4 linked regions of the Arabidopsis thaliana genome follow. The protein of the gene in region 1 interacts with the protein of each later gene in a pairwise test. Each region holds a gene or a part of one and is shown on either strand. Other genes may lie near its edges.

Evidence for each region.
Region 2: the proteins of CJD1 (region 1) and AT2G22100 interact in a two-hybrid assay, tested with the Arabidopsis thaliana proteins (one study listed by BioGRID).
Region 3: the proteins of CJD1 (region 1) and AT3G53690 interact in a two-hybrid assay, tested with the Arabidopsis thaliana proteins (one study listed by BioGRID).
Region 4: the proteins of CJD1 (region 1) and SKL2 interact in a two-hybrid assay, tested with the Arabidopsis thaliana proteins (one study listed by BioGRID).

The regions. Positions count from the first base shown.
Region 1 is NC_003070.9:2,747,851-2,753,182, reverse strand, and holds CJD1 (Chloroplast J-like domain 1), read left to right. Parts: upstream 1-1,562; 5' UTR 1,563-1,973; coding exon 1,974-2,104; intron 2,105-2,404; coding exon 2,405-2,504; intron 2,505-2,589; coding exon 2,590-2,694; intron 2,695-2,790; coding exon 2,791-2,868; intron 2,869-2,957; coding exon 2,958-3,013; intron 3,014-3,106; coding exon 3,107-3,164; intron 3,165-3,381; coding exon 3,382-3,507; intron 3,508-3,605; coding exon 3,606-3,701; intron 3,702-3,920; coding exon 3,921-3,992; intron 3,993-4,406; coding exon 4,407-4,469; 3' UTR 4,470-4,822; downstream 4,823-5,332. Other genes in the region: PPCK1 (phosphoenolpyruvate carboxylase kinase 1), read right to left, coding at 173-977; AT1G08645 (uncharacterized protein), read left to right, coding at 588-932, 1,176-1,241, 1,353-1,370. UniProt on the Arabidopsis thaliana protein: Probably involved in the regulation of the fatty acid metabolic process in chloroplasts, especially chloroplastic galactolipids monogalactosyldiacylglycerol (MGDG) and digalactosyldiacylglycerol (DGDG).
Region 2 is NC_003071.7:9,391,032-9,395,595, reverse strand, and holds AT2G22100 (RNA-binding (RRM/RBD/RNP motifs) family protein), read left to right. Parts: upstream 1-2,001; 5' UTR 2,002-2,050; coding exon 2,051-3,199; 3' UTR 3,200-4,042; downstream 4,043-4,564. Other genes in the region: AT2G22120 (RING/FYVE/PHD zinc finger superfamily protein), read right to left, coding at 324-432, 538-684, 1,063-1,148, 1,444-1,570. UniProt on the Arabidopsis thaliana protein: Acts as a component of a complex regulating the turnover of mRNAs in the nucleus. Binds with high affinity to RNA molecules that contain U-rich sequences in 3'-UTRs. May function in complex with UBP1 and contribute to the stabilization of mRNAs in the nucleus.
Region 3 is NC_003074.8:19,898,249-19,901,859, forward strand, and holds AT3G53690 (RING/U-box superfamily protein), read right to left. Parts: upstream 1,988-3,611; 5' UTR 1,797-1,987; coding exon 913-1,796; intron 828-912; coding exon 749-827; 3' UTR 540-748; downstream 1-539. Other genes in the region: MEE40 (Pentatricopeptide repeat (PPR) superfamily protein), read left to right, coding at 2,055-3,611.
Region 4 is NC_003071.7:14,912,293-14,917,213, reverse strand, and holds SKL2 (shikimate kinase like 2), read right to left. Parts: upstream 3,278-4,921; 5' UTR 3,177-3,277; coding exon 2,934-3,176; intron 2,762-2,933; coding exon 2,571-2,761; intron 2,478-2,570; coding exon 2,283-2,477; intron 2,176-2,282; coding exon 2,114-2,175; intron 2,031-2,113; coding exon 1,964-2,030; intron 1,891-1,963; coding exon 1,772-1,890; intron 1,680-1,771; coding exon 1,503-1,679; intron 1,415-1,502; coding exon 1,305-1,414; 3' UTR 546-1,304; downstream 1-545. Other genes in the region: SRO1 (uncharacterized protein), read left to right, coding at 1-130, 209-316; AT2G35490 (Plastid-lipid associated protein PAP / fibrillin family protein), read left to right, coding at 3,417-4,039, 4,211-4,406, 4,594-4,905.

The sequences.
Region 1 (5,332 bases):
CTGCAACAAAACAAAATTACAAAATACCAAATTTAGTTCACTTTATCATTAAACCAACCTACTAAAAAATGGATTAGTGTGGATAAGATAACATTATCTGTTAAAAATAGATGAAATTTATTGACATTAAAAATTCAACAGAGAAACAGATCTGATGGTTTTAGAATCTTACTTAATGCTTGTTCGGCTGAGAATCTTCTAGAAGCATCTTTGCATATCAATTTCCTTAGGAAATCTTTAGCCATAGATGAAACCCCCCGGAATATCTTCGTCGGAAAACGGAGATTTCCTCTGAGTACCGCTTCGAATATCTCTTCAGCTGTCTCGCCGTAAAACGGTGGAGTTCCAGCGAGCATCGTGTACAAAACGACGCCGGCGCTCCATAGATCGACCTTCTCTCCGTAAGAATATCCCATTAAAACCTCCGGCGCCACGTAATACGGCGTTCCGACGACTCCTTCGGTGGTCTCTCCCTCACCTAACCAAATCCCTGAACCGAAATCGCAGATCTTAACCGTATCGTTTCGTAGATCTACCAGAATGTTCTCCGGTTTAATATCCCTGTGAACGACGCCGTATCGGTGACAATGCGAAAGCGCCTGGAGAATCTGTTTAGCGAACGACGCCGTCTGAGGCTCAAAGAAGGTTCCAGAAGAGACGAGACGGTCGTAGATCGAAACAGAGGGATGGACGAGCTCCATGAAGATGGAGAGAGTCGAATCAGTGTCGATGAGATCATGGATTTGAACGATGTTAGGGTGATAGGACAAGAGAGCCATGAGCTTAGGCTCGTTGTCGAGACAGGCACGGTCAAGGTCGTCGGAGAGAGAGGCTTTGTCGATGGTTTTGCAAGCGAAGAAATCACCGGTGGCCGGAGCGTAGACGCGAGAGACGGTGCCGAAACGGCCACGGCCGATCTCCTCGCAGATCTGGTATTTGTTGGTGTTGTTGTTTCCGAGTGTTTGGCTGCAAGTCATAATATCACTTTCTTAATATTTTTTGTTTTGTGTTGGTTCTTGTGTGAGTTAAGAAGACCTCTTGAGTCGGCTCTACCTTTTTTTATAGCCAAAACTCTTGAGAATATTCCTTTTGATGCCTACATGTTTTTTTTTTCTACTAGTATTTTCCTTTTCCTTAACGTTATATCTTTTTTGTTTTTATTTTGTTTTAAATAGGATTTTAGATATTATTTCCCAATCCAAATCTATTTTTTTGTTTTGTTAGAAGTTTACTTGGAGAAGGTTTGTACTTTGTAATGTCTTTTCTTATCTTATTATATACAATTTTACTTTCTAACAGTTCTTTATTATCTATTTGGTTTGTTCTTTGAAATGATAATTACTTGGTGGTAGTCTAAAATTCACATTTAAGTTTATTATCAAATGTACTACACAATTACAATCCTCTCTAAATTACAGAAAAACATTCTCAACAGATCCAGATTTGTTAAGATAAAATATTGGATCTACAATTTAATATGTTTCCAGAAAAAGTTCATAAATTGATAATGCACAATCTAGTGAAAAAGAGGTAGGAAATCCAACCCCAATTTATGCAAAAACATTTCCAAATTGAATGTGAGTACTAAACGATTTCTTGGACGAGATTGAAATCTGAAAAAGAGATAAGAAAAGTGTGGCATGTTTGGATTGGAATTGGGAGATAATCCCTGCAAGTAAGTAAACCAGAGATCCCACGAAAACAAACTAATAAAGACACTGGATTGGGCCGATAAATCAGTTGGGCTGAAGAAAGCAGGCCGTCTTTATTATTACCTAATTCGTTCACGATGGAGGTCGAACCGAGAATATCCCCCTCCGGAGGCGAGCGCCTTATCCATTGGGCCACGCGAACTATTGGTCAGGCCTCAGTTTTTAGCCTTAACAAACTATTGAGTATTGAATGATTAGCTTCCAAACATCAATCACCAACCTTCTAGTTTCCTTTTAACCCTACTAGAGCTCTGCTCTGCCATGGCTCCCGCACTATCTACTTCTTGCTCCTCCGTCATGGCTTTCTCAACATCAAACGCGCTTCGTTACCATCATCCTCAAATTTCTCTCAGGAACTCTCTTCGCGCTCCCAAATCGCCTTCTTTTGTCAGGTACTTTCTCTTGATGCTGCTTTTTTGTTTTCCACTTCTCTTCGGTGGCTTTAAAGTCGAAGAATCATCGTTTGATAGTTCTTTTTGTTGTGTAAACTTACGGATTTTGTGGGTAACCGTTATCTTCTTCCTTCATAAACATTGTCAATTGAATTCCGACGGCTTAATTCGTGGATGAGCTTCTTACTGTTGCCTATAAAGTTTACAACTTTCAATTGCACTTAAGAGAGTTCCATTGTTGTGCTTATCAGACCATTTGGTACACGTTATCATTGTAATGAGGATGATTGAAATTCTCAGGCTTCCCCTCGGAAAGGTGTTACAGAGCAGGATTGTGATACGTGCTGCTTCGTCTGCGGCTGGTAATCCACAGTCTGATGCTGACTTTAATCCGTATGAGGTAATTGATCGTTAGAGCCCTATAAAGGACTTGTTTTGTTGGTCGTTGTGTATTTCTCATGACATGAGTGTGTGTACCTTCTCAGGTTCTTGGTGTTAACCCTATAGAGGGATTTGACAAGATCAAGCAAACTTATGGAAGGAAACTTAAAGATGCTCAGAGGAGCGGTGATGAAGCCACTGCTGCTCTAGTAAGTTACGTTACCTCTCTCTTTCTTTGGAGTCCTGTAAGTGATTTTTTTTTTTTTTTTTTCTTGTTAACACGTCTCTGTTTTACCTTTTGATAGCTTGAGAAGGCATATGATAAGCTCATGTATGCCCAGTTGATGAATAGGAAAAAGGGTGTGACTTTTGGTTCGTTTAAGGTGTGTATCGTATCCTCTTTCTTGTCATATGCTGTCTTGAACTCTATGACCTTTCTTTCTCAATCCTTGGTGAATTTTTCATAATTCAGGTTTCCAAGGACATTAAATATGCTGATAAGCAGCCCATTATACCATGGGGTCCAAGGTAGAGATTCTTTATGAGTCTACTCGCATTATTAATTTTCATCATTCAAAAGCAGGATCTGTTACTACTCATGATTTACCCTTGTTGTTACAGGTTTTCCAGGTCCTCCAAGAATGATATGTTGATCAACCTAGCAATATCAGTTGTGTTTGTAAGTAGTTTTTAAGAAATATGAGGTTTGCTATTATTAGAAATGTCAGTTTTTTTTTTTTTTTTATCTGTACCCTTTATGAATCAAGACATCATGCATAAATGACTGAATTCTTGCAGAAAAAGTGACTTGTTTCTTACACATTTATGCATATATGACATTTCAAGTACAATCAGATATGAGCCTCTCCCACTCTTTCTGTTTCTTTCTTTTGCAGAGTGCATGGATTGCGATAAAACGTAATGTTGAATACAAACCGCTGCAGTTCATGTCTTTTGTATTTGTTTACAGAATTTTTGAGAAATTAAAATCCTTTGAAGCACCTTCATCTCCAATATATAACGTGAGTTTTGAATTTTTTTGAAGCCTTATGTTTTGATGTCCGTACACTTAGTGGCTCTTTTAATCCTGATGTGCACTGATGTTTGACACTGGCTGCAGGAGGAAGGCGAAGAAAGTGGACGGGGATTGAGAATGGGAAAGAGGCTTCTTCGTTCTCTTTCCTTAGTTTTTGGCTCTATACTCTTAGCATCTTTGGTATGCATATCCATCAAGACTCCGTTATTTTAAAGAATCCGTTTTATGTTGCACCATCTAGTATTAGGTTTATTCAAAGAGAGCGGCATATGTGATATAAATGTGTCCAAGCGTTATTTTATGGATGCTCCTGATTGTTTGATCTAGTTATTAGATATGTCAGGAGTTCTTTTAATTGTGTATACCTATGTTTAACTCTCAGTGAACAATGTTTTGCAGGCATACACTGGGTTCTTAAATGGCATCGAGTACATGGGCTACTCCATACCCATGGTTCTTTACAACAACCAGGTTGTTTTTTTTGCATAACTTACATCTCTCTTCGCTTGAAACCTTCTCTTAACTAGTCCCACACAAAATGATCATTTTGATCAAAAAATGGTTTAGGATATTTAGGTCAATTGTTGGCTAAGCCTCAATGAACAGCACTAGTTGATTAGGTTGTAGATGATTGTGCTGTTTGTTTTGATTTGTGACATCTATAGGTATAAGAAGTACTTGTACTGAAATAAAAACTAAATGCACAAGTATTAGGTATGAATTGGGAACACATGAGTTGGATATGTGTTGCCACAATTGCTGAATTAAGATATAGCAAAGAGAAGGGTCTGGTCTGTAAATTAAATAGTTCCATAAGTGATATCAGTCAACCAGGCTTTTGATGATGTAACAAGAACTGACTGAACAGTGCTAATTCGGTTGCAGGAACTTATAGTGACGGCGTCATCGGCTTTCATGCTCTATGTTATAGCGTCGTTTTACAGATAATGCGAGAGTCCACAGGAGAATTGGTCAGTTAGAAGCTTTTGGAGAAGTTATGCTGTATTATAGGATGTTGCTGGGAGATGAAAAGTTTATTTTCTACAGAGAGATGGGGTTATCTTTATAACCTTTCTTTTGTGTGGAAAATCAAGTAAATTTTGCAAGAGAGAAATCCCTTAGAATCTAAGTCTTGTCTATTTACGTTTAATGCTGAGGATCGCATGTGGAAGGTTTTTTAATTTTTGTATTGGAGCAATAATATGCGTGAAGTGAAAAATCTTGAGATACCTTGAAAGTATCAGTCGTACACACAATTGAAGCGTTACGAAGATGAGAAACGTTATCAACCTTGTTAAAACACAACTGTGGAGAGTTTAGAATTGATGATAGATGAAAAGTTATAGGGATCAAAATAGAGAGCTAATATCTTTGGTGTGGTGGCGAGAAAAATCATCTGAAAAGATGTTTCATAGATTTGAGGTACGAATCTGATTGGTTGGGTTAGATAAAGGTCAGGTCAGGTGGCTAAGACTGAATTCGACTGTCATCAAAAAGGAGTGTCCACTACGGTCAGCAAAAGAAAAAGGACTATGTAGGTGAAGTGAATCCGATGGGAAATAAAACAAATGTGATAGAGAGAGAACAGAGACGCCAATTATGAGTAGAGCTGACACGTTGGAGCTGACTCTGTCTCTATCTCTATATCTCTGTCTTTCTCTATTTATAGATGGAGTACGTACAGCTGCTCCACACTATATATACAGTACATACTTTGAAAAGTATATTTGAGTTACGTCTTCAACTTCAAAGCGTTTCTTACTACTAAAGTGGTACGTTTCCCTAATTCGCTCTCATTTTCCATCTTCTTC
Region 2 (4,564 bases), on another chromosome or scaffold:
TAAAAATTCTACGAGGTCCAGAACTCTAACTGTATATTCGTAACGTAGCCAACCCCTTAACTTTTGATCTAAATCTAACTGATCACAAAACCCTTGCTTCACTTCCTACTACGTAGAGGCAATGAAATCATCTAATAGCAAACTCCTTACATTGGAATCTAAGATTCTGATTGAAGCAAAGCTTTAACAAGGACTGTAGGACATATGTACAATAATAAACTTAGCATTCCCGTCTTACCAACTACACTTGGCAGAGGTCTTACTAAAAAATATTATCTTATCTAGAGGGGAATTTATTTAGATATTAAAGTTTGGGATCATACCACACATGTAATAAAACGTGACCTCACTGTCAAAACCCCATATATGACGAAGCCATGATTGCTGGTAACTATCTATGAAATAGACCATGTAGGCCAATGCAGCAATCACCTGTGAGCAGATGAAGTCATTTAAAAGGCATGAGTTAGATATATTACCAAATGAAAGAAAAACTACTGTAAGAAACAGAAGCACACATGAAAAATGAATACTTACAAGCTGAACAGCAAGAAATATGGATAAAATGTCTCGAGTAACAAAGAAGCGAAACTTCAATGTCCGCCATTTCCTATCTCCAGCACTGTGAACTCTCAGATAATATGGAGCCTTGCAAGTTGTGCAGTGCGCAAACGCGAAACCTTCCTGCAATAAAACGAGCTTACCAGGCGTCAACATCTGCTATTCATTATTTTACCATGATACTACCAAAAACACCACCACTCTAATCATCACTCATGAAACATATATCAACTCTGAAAATTTCACATCCAAAACCATCATTCTTTAGTTGTTTAGCCTTCGAATGGTTTTCGTATTCAACAAAAATAGAAATTTACAACAAAAGGGAAGTTCCTATTCAATAACACTTACACAGGTTGTCATATTTGATTGAAAATGGAAGGGATAACAACAAATAGTCAAAGAGTGAAAGCGAGCATTCATAGCTTTCAAGTTTCAAGTAACACTAACGACAGCCAAGCATGGACCCAAGTTGAGCTAAAGCGTATGAAAAAATGGAACCTTTATAGCTCTCCAATGATCCAAGCAATCACGATGTACATACTTTGATGTTCCTTTGCATTTGCATGGGGCAATGAAATCCCTACCTGACCATGATCAATAAATGAGCTTGAATCAACCAAGTAAGTTAGAACAAAAGCTCTCTCACTATATCACGGTTTTAAATCACTAGTCTTTTATAAAAAAAGAGTTTATCACTAACACTAATCTAAATCACATCAGAACCATTAACGATCTAGCCAATTCGAATTTCATAATCCGAATTCTTGAACTGAAGTTAGACATATCTATGAGCACATGAAAATGTTCAACAATCACTAGCAAGAAGCAAAGAATCTATTTAAGGAAGAAGCGAATCTAAATGGTTTTAGAAGACATTACCATCAGTTTCAAGGCAGATTCGGCACTGAATTTGTTCACCAGGTCCTCCAGCTTCGAGATCGATCTCGGAAGGCTCGACCATCGGCGACGGTGGAACCAACGGCGACAATTCCAGTTCGTCCGCCATTCAATTTCGAAATCTGGGTAAAACCCACGAATACCCAGAAAGAGAGAATAGAAAAGATCGAGACTTCGTCGAGCTATGATCCGATTTCGTTAGTTTAGCATTTATCGGTAGGTTTTTGTTGCCGTTAAACAAGTATGTGAATTGACCCGTCACTCACCGGTTCTTCGCCGGCACACAAAAACCAGAAATGTTGTATCTTTTTCCTTTTCTGTATTTTGACGTTTTTGCCCCTCTACTAATTCATGTTAAAAAAAAAAATTATGTGTTGCAAAAAAAAAAGCATGTCTGAGCCCGGGTTCGAACCGGGGACCTCTAGTGTGTGAGACTAGCGTGATAACCGACTACACCACCCAGACGTTTTTGTTAGACTCTTTACTTTATTATAAATATACTTAAATAATCTAGTGTTCTCTGGTGCACCCTATTTTAGAGGAGTTACTCTATTCAGAGTGTTTTTTTTGGTAGCCACTGCCGTCAACAATGGCGAAAGAAGGAGAAGAACGTAAGAAGGAGAAGAAAGAGAAGAAGGAGAGGAAGGAGAGGAAGCGTCGCGAAGCTGAAGAACTCGCTGTAAGAGAGAAGAAAATCTCAAAAAAACATAAATCGAAATCCAAAGAGGAAGAGAAACCAGAGAAATCAAAGAAGAAATCGAAGAAATACGAAGAAGTAGAAGAAGAGGAGAAATCTCCATCTCCATCTCCATCTCCTAAGAAATCGAAGGAGAGTAAGAAGAAACATAAGAGATCATCAGATGAATCCGAAGAGATCGTCGATTCAAAGCCTGTTACGGTCCCGATTGTTACCATTGAGTCTGATTCTGATTTCGAATTCGATAAGGAAGATATTAAGAATCTACTTGAATCTTACTCTAAAGAGGAGCTTATTAACCTAATTTACAAAACTGCTGAGAAAGGTTCTAAATTGATCTCAGCAGTGTTTGAATCAGCGGATAGAGATAGTTCTCAACGGAACATATTCGTGCGTGGTCTTGGATGGGATACAACGCATGAGAATCTCAAGGCGGCTTTTGAGGTTTATGGGGAGATAACGGAATGTTCTGTGGTTATGGATAAAGATACAGGAAGAGCTAAAGGTTTTGGCTTTGTGTTGTTTAAGACGCGTAAAGGAGCGAGAGCGGCGTTGAAGAATCCGGAGAAGAGAATGTATAATCGAACTGTTAGTTGTTTACCAGCTAGGCCGTTTAATTCTGGAAAGCCACGAGAACAACAACAACCGGTTGAGTCTGTGAAGATTGATTTGAGTCATACGGGTAATCAGAGTGAAATGGCTTTGCCTGGGATTGATTTGGGTCATGGACTTGATAAGGGACATCAGCAGCAGCAGAATATGTCAATGTATGCTGGACAGAACATGCCCTTTTATGGACATTCTCAGCCTCCTCCTGGTTTTAATCCTATGTATGGTGCAATGATGGGTAATCCGATGGTTGCTGGTTTACAGAATTATCGTATGTTTGGCTCGGGTATGATGAATCAAGGACCTATGATGCCACCGAATCATATGGGAATGGTGGGACAATATGTTGGTGATGGTAATGTTAACGGTGTTGGTGCGGGTGCTGGTGCTGGTGCTGGTTTTGATGGTGAACGTGCTTGGTATCTGAGATAAGAGAACCCAAGTGGTATGACCATGTTCTCTGATATTTCAAGTTATAGATTAGGCTAATGATTAGTCCGGTATCTTCGACTCCAACTTGATATTTTGGGAATTGCAGGAGTTTTTTTTGCGGATCTTTATTTTCTATGCCTGATGTTTCAAACCTACTTTTTTAGTTTCATTATTTATAGTCTCTTTTAACGAGGTATCTACCCCTATATGAGCCATTTTGAGGGAGATGTGTGCTCAAAGGATGAATTTTCTGTTGCTCTCTGGAAGTCTGTCATTGGTGTTCTGCTCTGTTCTCATAAACCAGTGAAATGTGGTCATTTTGTCTAGAAGATTTAGTTACTAGGATCAATATTGGTTTAAAGTAGTTTGCTATCTCTTTGTTTTCCCTTTTGGAGTCCCCCATTATGGTCTTCTGTCTTCTCCTTACCCATCAAACTCACGTCTGGTTTTCTTCTGTGGCATGGCGTATGTTTTTCTCTTTTGTTTTTCCTTGTTTTTGGTTTTATGTTTTCCCGCATTTTCATTGAATATCTGTTCGCTATAGCTGGAGAAGAAGCTTATGACATTTATAGTTTTGTCCACTATATGTCATAACTGCCAAAAGTCTGTATCTTCCAGCTGCAGTTGTCTTGAGACCCGTTTGTAGGATCAGACATAATGGTTTTACATTCTTGTTTTAAATCTGTCTTTTTGAGTACTGGAAAAAGTTTTGGGACTCTTTCAAAAGCTTCAAGTTGATTTTCTCTGGAATAAACAACCTGAGTTTTCTTTCCTTCAAGCATTGTTTTCTTCCCCATAGGTTTTTATAAGCTTCTCAATCTCTTTCATCACATTCCTCTTTTATGGTAGTGTCGCCCCTTTCTCTTTTGTATTTAAGAGTCCATTTTGATATCAGTTGCCAAGTTTTCTTGCCTAAGTTCAAGATTGTTTTTGGTCATCGGTACTTGGACCCAATTTGTTTTTCACCTTACATAGCTTTGTTCTGGATTTACCTTTTTTTTACCTGCTCGTTATTCATATTCTATATAACTCTGGTTATGGTAGCAAAGCATACTTGTTTTTTTTTTTTTTTTCTTTGGATTTTCACAATGACCTCACAGTGACCGATGATGCGAATGCTTGTTTTCTTAAGAGGATCAATCTTGTTTTCAGTTTTTCGATTTCTTAAGAGGATCAATCTTGTTTCTCGGTTTTTGGTCTTCTCTGCAGCTATCCATCCATCCATATGAATCAACTCGTATTAATCTATAGTATGCTTCAGCTAAATCAACTTTGGTTTGGTTTTGGTCATTTGATTTCGTTGTTTTGTGATCATGATCTTATGAGGGCTTTGTTTTTCTTTCCAATGGGGAAACTCTGAAAATC
Region 3 (3,611 bases), on another chromosome or scaffold:
GGATCGGCTCTGTTTAAAATAATAAGTTATCATTAACAGTCATTTTTTCCATTCATATTGGTTAATGTAACTTGAGATAATATCATGTTTTCAGAGAATATGTAGACAACGTAGTAGCAAAGTCACTTTAGAGTGACTGGAATTGTTCTCTCTGTGGCTGGAATTAAGTAGATTCGTTGGCAAATGTAACGGAATCTGGTATTAGCTATGAAGACCAAAGGTACATATCTATGTAGATTAATGTATAAAGGTTTTTATTTAATAATGAACCCTTTCTCACCCTTCTTCAATGCATATTTTTGATGATAGTAAGAATTAGAGGTATCAGAGAATGTAGAATCCTATGTGGATATGGTAGGTATGATGATCTCAAACGAGAAAATCCTAAGAGATGTTACAAGAGGAAACAAAAGAGATTAGACCTAAGAAGAAGTTTAAAGCCTGATATAGTCCATGAAGTTTGGATGGTCAAAGAGAGGAACAAGACCTATGTAAAGAAATAAGACAAAGGTTGCATTCTATACGGTAAAACAGAGTTAAGGTGCTAGAAGTTGAAAAGGAATTTTTGTTTCTAGGATCTTACATTGTTAACACGATAAATTATTGTCCATATGATTGATATTACCTTTTTACCTAAATAGCGAAAATAGGTACAAAGCATCAAGACCAAATAGAAATCCATATCCTTAAAGCTTAAGCTTAGCTTTAGATTAGAGACCTATATAATAAGAAATGCTGATGCTAAATATCAACGCTTACAATTATAACAATAATGAGTATGGTCCCTCGATGGAGTTCCACAGTTGTAGCAAAAAGCCAACCCACACCTGCCAAAATGTGTTTAAAAAGATATATAAAAACAATGTTTTTTAAAAACACTCTTGTTAAGAAGAAGAAGATACATATATATACCTGCACTTCATGTATAAGCAACCCTGAGATTTCTCAATATAGAATTTGCAAGAAGGACATCTTTTCCATTTCTTTTGCTTTGCCATCGTCGCAAGCAAAATATCATCTCTTCCTCTCTCGTTCGCCGCTAGCTTCTGAAACTCCTCGCAAGTCATCTCCGGATGCCACTGAGTCCCACACTCCACACACACCATTCTATGACAATGAGGACACTCCGAATCTTTCATCTTTACTTCACTCTCTTCTAAGAAAACCAAAGCAGAGCAATCCTTGTAAGGACAGTAGAATTTCTTCGAACGCATCACTACTGCTTCACACAAAGCATCACCCCACCGATCAAAAACCTCTTTAGGCAAAATCTGACGACACTGATCTGGCTCGAGCCGACCAGAACAACCAGAGACAGGACATTCGATTGAGAGAATGTTGTCTTGTAATTTAGCTGCTATATATTTCGAAACACAGTCGTTGCAGTAGAAGTGAGAGCATCCACCGATACGAAACGACTCAATTATGGATTTTGAATCAACACATATCTCACAGTCGAAAGTCGCCGTCTTTGACGAAGAAGACTGACCCTTTTCTCTGTGGATTGGTGGTGCGAAACAGAGGATTCTGATATCATCGTCTTCATCATCGTAAAGATCAAGATCTATGTAAATTGGAGATTCTGACTTGATTACGGTTTTGTGAGGAGGGTAGACCCAGAGACGTTGAAGTTTCCGATCACGATCGTAATTCTCAACGGAAATAGCATCACGCTTTGTGGAACCACGTGCAGAGAGAGGAGGAGTGGAGAAGATGAAACAATCGGAATTATCGCCGTCGTCGTTTACATCTCCGGGAAGATCAACGATCACTGCGTTAACTGACTGTGTCGCCATTTCAAAAATGATTCTAATTAGGTTTCGTCCACAATCAGAATTAGGGTTTATGAATCACTTACTACTTTTTGCTCTTTTGCATTGAATCACTTTCCATTTTCCAAAGCGTCTCACTTTTTGGCTTACTGCTAAAAAACCTAAATCGAATTTTTAATAATTGTCCGGTTCACGAACGAACCGGTCGGTTAGCAAAAAATTGTAATCCTTAAACCCATTTTGTTGCTTCACTCTCATCATCTTCTCTGGAAACTGAAAACTATGGCTTTCTCTTCATGTCTCAAATTCTATCCATTTTCTATCTCTCAAGCTGTAACCCTAACTCATCATTCCTTCTCTCTCAATCTAACTCCTCCTTCTTCTACCATCTCCTTCGCTTCTCCTCACTCAGCAGCTCTCTCCTCTACCGATGTCAAGCTTCTCGACTCACTCCGTAGCCAGCCTGATGATTCCGCCGCACTTCGTCTCTTTAATCTGGCCTCTAAGAAGCCAAATTTCTCACCTGAACCTGCTCTATACGAAGAGATTCTCCTTCGGCTAGGTCGGTCTGGTTCGTTTGATGACATGAAGAAAATTCTTGAAGACATGAAGAGTTCCAGATGCGAAATGGGTACTTCTACTTTCTTGATATTAATCGAGAGTTATGCTCAGTTCGAATTGCAAGATGAGATTTTAAGTGTTGTTGATTGGATGATTGACGAATTCGGGTTAAAACCCGATACCCATTTTTATAACCGGATGTTGAATCTTCTCGTTGATGGGAATAGTCTGAAACTCGTTGAGATTTCTCACGCGAAGATGAGTGTCTGGGGGATTAAACCAGATGTATCTACGTTTAATGTTTTGATCAAAGCTTTGTGTAGAGCTCATCAGCTTAGACCTGCGATTTTGATGTTGGAGGATATGCCTAGTTACGGTCTTGTTCCTGATGAGAAGACATTTACAACGGTTATGCAAGGCTATATTGAAGAAGGGGACTTGGATGGAGCTTTGAGGATTAGGGAACAGATGGTTGAGTTTGGTTGTTCATGGTCTAATGTGAGTGTTAATGTTATTGTTCATGGTTTTTGTAAGGAAGGGAGAGTCGAAGACGCTCTCAATTTCATTCAGGAGATGTCTAATCAAGACGGGTTTTTTCCGGATCAGTACACGTTTAATACGTTAGTTAATGGTTTGTGTAAAGCAGGGCATGTGAAGCATGCTATTGAGATTATGGATGTGATGCTTCAAGAAGGGTATGATCCAGATGTGTATACTTATAACTCGGTGATTTCGGGTTTGTGTAAGCTTGGAGAGGTGAAAGAAGCAGTGGAGGTTCTTGATCAGATGATTACTAGAGATTGTTCTCCGAACACGGTTACTTACAACACTTTGATCAGCACGTTATGTAAAGAGAATCAGGTCGAGGAAGCTACGGAGCTTGCCCGTGTTCTCACCAGCAAAGGGATCCTTCCTGACGTTTGTACATTTAACTCTTTGATCCAAGGTTTGTGTTTGACTAGGAATCACCGGGTTGCGATGGAGTTGTTTGAAGAGATGAGGAGCAAAGGATGTGAGCCTGACGAGTTCACTTACAATATGCTGATTGATAGCTTATGCTCCAAAGGGAAGCTAGATGAAGCTCTGAACATGCTTAAACAAATGGAATTGAGTGGTTGTGCACGGAGTGTGATAACTTACAACACTTTGATTGATGGGTTTTGCAAAGCCAACAAGACTAGAGAAGCCGAGGAGATATTTGATGAGATGGAAGTACATGGAGTTTCAAGAAACTCTGTTACATACAACACACTCATCGATGGGCTTTGTAAAAGCAGG
Region 4 (4,921 bases), on another chromosome or scaffold:
AAAGAATAGCTCCAGCAGTAGAAGGCCCAGATCTCCTATAATGCCTTTCCCTCTGCTGTTCAAAGCAATCTCGAGCAAAATTGCTCGTAAAGACATGGATTTGATAATTGCTGGTTACCAGGAACTCAGGGTAAATAATATAAACCATGTCTTTTACCAATAGTCAAGGTTATCATATTGTATTAACATAATCGGTGTGCTCTTGCAGGAGAAGAAGGTGTCGAGAAAGGAATTTTATAAGACGCTGAGTATGATTGTAGGAGATGATGATCTGCTGATATCTACAATAACAGGCCTTCAAAGGAGTTTGGGTTAGATTAATGTGTCGACTTCTCTTTGCTGTCGTGAAACCTTAATAGTTTGGATTACGACAAACGTGACTTGATCTTTAGAAACTTAGTAGTAGTACTGTTATATTTACTCTTTTGGTGAAACTAGTCTCCATTATCCTGTTTTTCTTTACTTGGAATCAAAGAGTCTTTTATTGATCAACAGCCTTGGTTCTTTGTGAGGTTTAATTCATCAGCTGGAAGTTATTCAACAGCCTTAGTTTTAAAAAGCGCGCTAATGGCGTGCCATGGCGCATAGCGCACCGATGCTCTAAGAATAGGGCAACAAGACGTGGAGGCGAGGCGACATCTATAATGCGCACGCCATACGTGAGCCTTGGCCGATGCACAAGGTGGCAAAGCGATCGCCTCTTGTGTTCAGGCGAAAACTCTTCGAAACCAACAACAGAATTCTGTGATTTTAGGGTTTGCACGAAGAAATGACTAGGAGGAATAGGATAAACCATTTTCTAAACCTAGCTGGTTAATACATGATTCAATTTAGCTGGTCAATACCTAATCCACGACTAGAAAGTTTAACCATGAGTTATAATTAGCTTATCAAACCAAATCAATCCTAGGTTTATCTTAAACTAAAACGGATTTGACCCTTACCTCTTAACCCACGACATTTTAACCAGTTAGAAGATGTAAAATCCCTAATTTTTCTAAATAGAACACCATAGACGATATAAGCTTGAAGGCTAAAACCATATGCAGAGAATCTGTTAATAGAACACCACAGATCTAAAAAGCGCGCGCTTTGGTGAGCCATGGCACATAGCGCACTAAAGGACTCTCTGAGCCATGGTGCGCTTTGTGCCATTTAAAACTCAGATTGGTAGTCAATTCTCAAATTATCCAATATACAACTTCTTTAACAATTAAATACCATTGACAATGACAACAATAACAGAAAATTTCTTCAAGAGCATTCGTTTGTAGGAGAGAGCAAAAAGCATGTCTTGACACTGTTTATGTAAACTGTGGATGAGGTCCAGTGTCAGACGATGGATCCCATCCCGGCGGTTTTATATTGGGCCAATCGCCACGGCATCCCAAGCGTATGTACAAACTCTTCTTACCTTCAATATCATAAAAGACGCATTTAATCTCCAAAACATTTATCAGATTAAAGCATCAATTTACAAATGGGTTTCTTCTATTTATTACCTGGAAGTCCCTTGTCTGAGATGATCAGTTGCTTAAGTGCACTCAAGGAAGCCTGAGCCACGCTCTTTGCATGCGTCGGGTCCCAACCTTGGAGCTTCACCACAACGTCGGCGTTTGAATACCCAATCTCCCTCTCTTGCTTACTTCTCCTCGCTTCTTCTTTAGCTGACTCTTCATCTACATTCAGAACCAATCTTGAATGTATAAGCAGTGATTCTCGTTTTCTGTTCAGAAGGGTTCATTTTAAGTGGATGTAGAGAGAAATTGACCTGTGGCTTCAGTCTGTGATACCCAAACGGTAAATCCGGAGTAAAGATGTCTCCACTGATCAGCTCTCCCCGCAGCTCCATGTTTACCTCCCAAAGTTGAGACAACAGTACGCACATGGCTGCAAAGACATGGAGATCAGTGGCTAATCTTGGTAACTGGAAAGAGATTGAACACTAGACATGACTTTTTACCTGCTCAAGCTTTCCAATACCGAACTCTCTGCTTCAGCTACAGAATCCGGCCCTTCTGCAAGAATCCCTAAAATGAAGACAAACAAAAGGGTCCTGAGAAGTGAGGAAGATTCTTGTTAGATGATGACCATGATCCAAAAGCAAACTTACAAGAATCGATTGTTTGCTTGGAAAAGCTTTCCAGCAATTCCTTTGAATCTAAAGGACTGTACCTGCAGATCATAACAAGTGTATAAGACTCTGAAATACTATTCATACTGAGCTCATGAACGAAAGGCGGGAACTGAATTCACCCACTGAGAAGAATCTGAATTCATACCCAAGGCCAACGGCTAGCTCTCGAGACACTTTTTGGTTGATTTCAGTTGAATCTCCAACAATGTAGATTGATGCACCTTTAAGAAGTTGCATCATTCCTGCAGTCAAAGACTCCCAGGACTCGACAATATCAGGCCACTTCAATTCCCCATCCACCTTCTTCATATTCACAACCAACTGATCTTCGTCTATGTACCTGTTCTGGATCAAAACCAAAACTTCAGCCCTCAAGGAAATGTCACACATCACAAAAACAAGTCATATAATGCAAGATTTACACGTAGCTAACCATATTGTTTCAGAGGGCATAATCTTCTCAAAGAGATGGTTAGTCTCTAGAAGTGTAATCAGCAATCCATTCCGCTTTTCTTTAACGGCTAACGATGTTCCATCTGCGTCAACAGATATATCCTTTGGAGAAAGTATCTCACCTGTCTTTAACCTCAATCTTAATTCCACCTCTTTGCCACCATCCGTGAACTGCATCATATATGAAAACGATTCAATTTTTATCTAACTAATGTACAACAACTACATGATCATGGTATATATACATAGACCTTGGAACCAGCCATTTATACGCAATTCTCCATTTTATCACTCAGACTGATAGACCAGCAACACTAGTATAGACGTGAATACGAAAATTCACCTCGTAATCGATAGTGCTGGTGGATACGGCGGATAAGCAATTACATGAGAAGCTATTAAACCGGTCGGGGATAACATTTTGAGAGAATCGCCGGAAGCCGCGACGTCGGAGGCTGTGAAATCCACTGAAAACGCGAGGAGAGGAACGAATCCGATTCGAAGAAAGGAAGGTCGCTTGAGTTGTGACAGGGTTTAGTGAAGGAGAGTTGAAGATTATAGCCAAACCAGAAGCAAAAGCAGCCATTGATGATTGATTTCAAACTCACTCACTCAGACAAAGTATCACTACGGGGATAAGGGAAAGAGACGAATACAAATCGTTATAATGGGCCTGGGTCAGGCCCATTAGTTTAAAGTTTTTTTTTTTTTGAAGTTTTAAAATTGCGTTTTTTCTGGGGTCATCTAAATTTCGTGTGATTTTCTAAGACTTGAGTAATCTTGTTTTCCGAAATTTTCTCACCAAGCTCGAACACAAAGATCGGCCATGGCTACGCTCTTCACCGTCGCTCGTCCTTCTTCACTCCTCTATGTTTCCTCCATAAATCCAAGCAAGACCTTCTCTCCTTCTATCTCCCTAAAACTTAACTCTCTCTCTTTCTCTTTTGGTTATCGTCCCAAGCCACTCCGGTTTTCTAAAATCCGATCTTCTCTGCCCTCGGAATCTGAATCGGAATCCGACCTAGATGCGTCTGCAGTTACAGATGAATGGGGTGAGAAACCTGGAGATGCAAATGAGCCCGACTCTCAGCCAGATAATGTGACCGTGAATGTGATTACGGACGAATGGGGCGAGAAATCCGGACCCGAACTTGAGGAATCCGGGACCCGGTTTATGGAATCGGATCCTCCAAGGAACGAAGACGAGTGGGGAGGAGAAATTGGAGGAGAAACTGAAGCCGACGCTGGAAATGGAAGTGCGGTGTCTGACCCGACTTGGGAGCTGAAAAGGTGTTTGGCGGATTCGGTGTACGGAACTGAATTAGGTTTCAAAGCTGGGTCAGAAGTCCGAGCGGAGGTTTTGGAGCTTGTGAATCAACTGGAAGCTCTGAATCCTACTCCGGCTCCGTTAGAGAATCCAGAACTTCTCGACGGCAACTGGGTTTTGCTGTAAGTTAAATGATCTTGTTTCGATGATGTAGGAACCTTTAGTTGTCGCTGAGAATTTCAACACTGTGAATTGAGAATGAGACATTGTGAAATCTTTGATGAAGAATGATAATAATCCAGGAATTGTTACTGTTGTTCCAATTTTGTGTATTTTCTTGGGTTATGAAATAGGTACACTGCTTTCTCTGAGTTGATTCCTCTACTAGCTGCGGGTTCGACACCTTTGTTGAAAGTTAAAAGCATAAGTCAGTCAATAGACACAAACAATCTCATTATCGACAACTCCACTACACTCTCCAGCCCTTTTGCAGACTTCTCCTTCAGTGCTACTGCTTCATTTGAAGTTCGAAGCCCTTCAAGAATTGAGGTAACTAAACTTACAAACACCAGTTTGAGTATTAAGGTCACTGAAGCATTAACAGTTTGTACTTTTGATTACATTCCAGTCAATCAAACCTTACCATTAAAACAAAGCTATGTTAAAAAGGTTTCTTTGTAGATTGAATTTGTATTGGTATCACCATCTGGTTGTCTTAATGTTTGGTAAATGTCAGGTTTCTTTCAAAGAAGGCACGCTAAAACCCCCGGTGATCAAATCAAGTGTAGATCTCCCAGAGAGTGTGGGCGTCTTTGGGCAGCAGATTAGCCTTTCGTTGTTAAAGCAGTCTTTGAACCCCTTACAAGATGTGGCAGCAAACATTTCACGGGCACTCTCTGGTCAGCCACCTCTCAAGCTTCCGTTTCCAGGAAACCGAGGCAGCTCTTGGCTCTTGACCACTTATCTCGACAAGGATCTCAGGATTTCTAGAGGAGATGGTGGCCTTTTCGTGCTTGCCAGAGAAGGAAGCTCTCTGCTTGAGCTCTGAAATATTTGATAAAGTA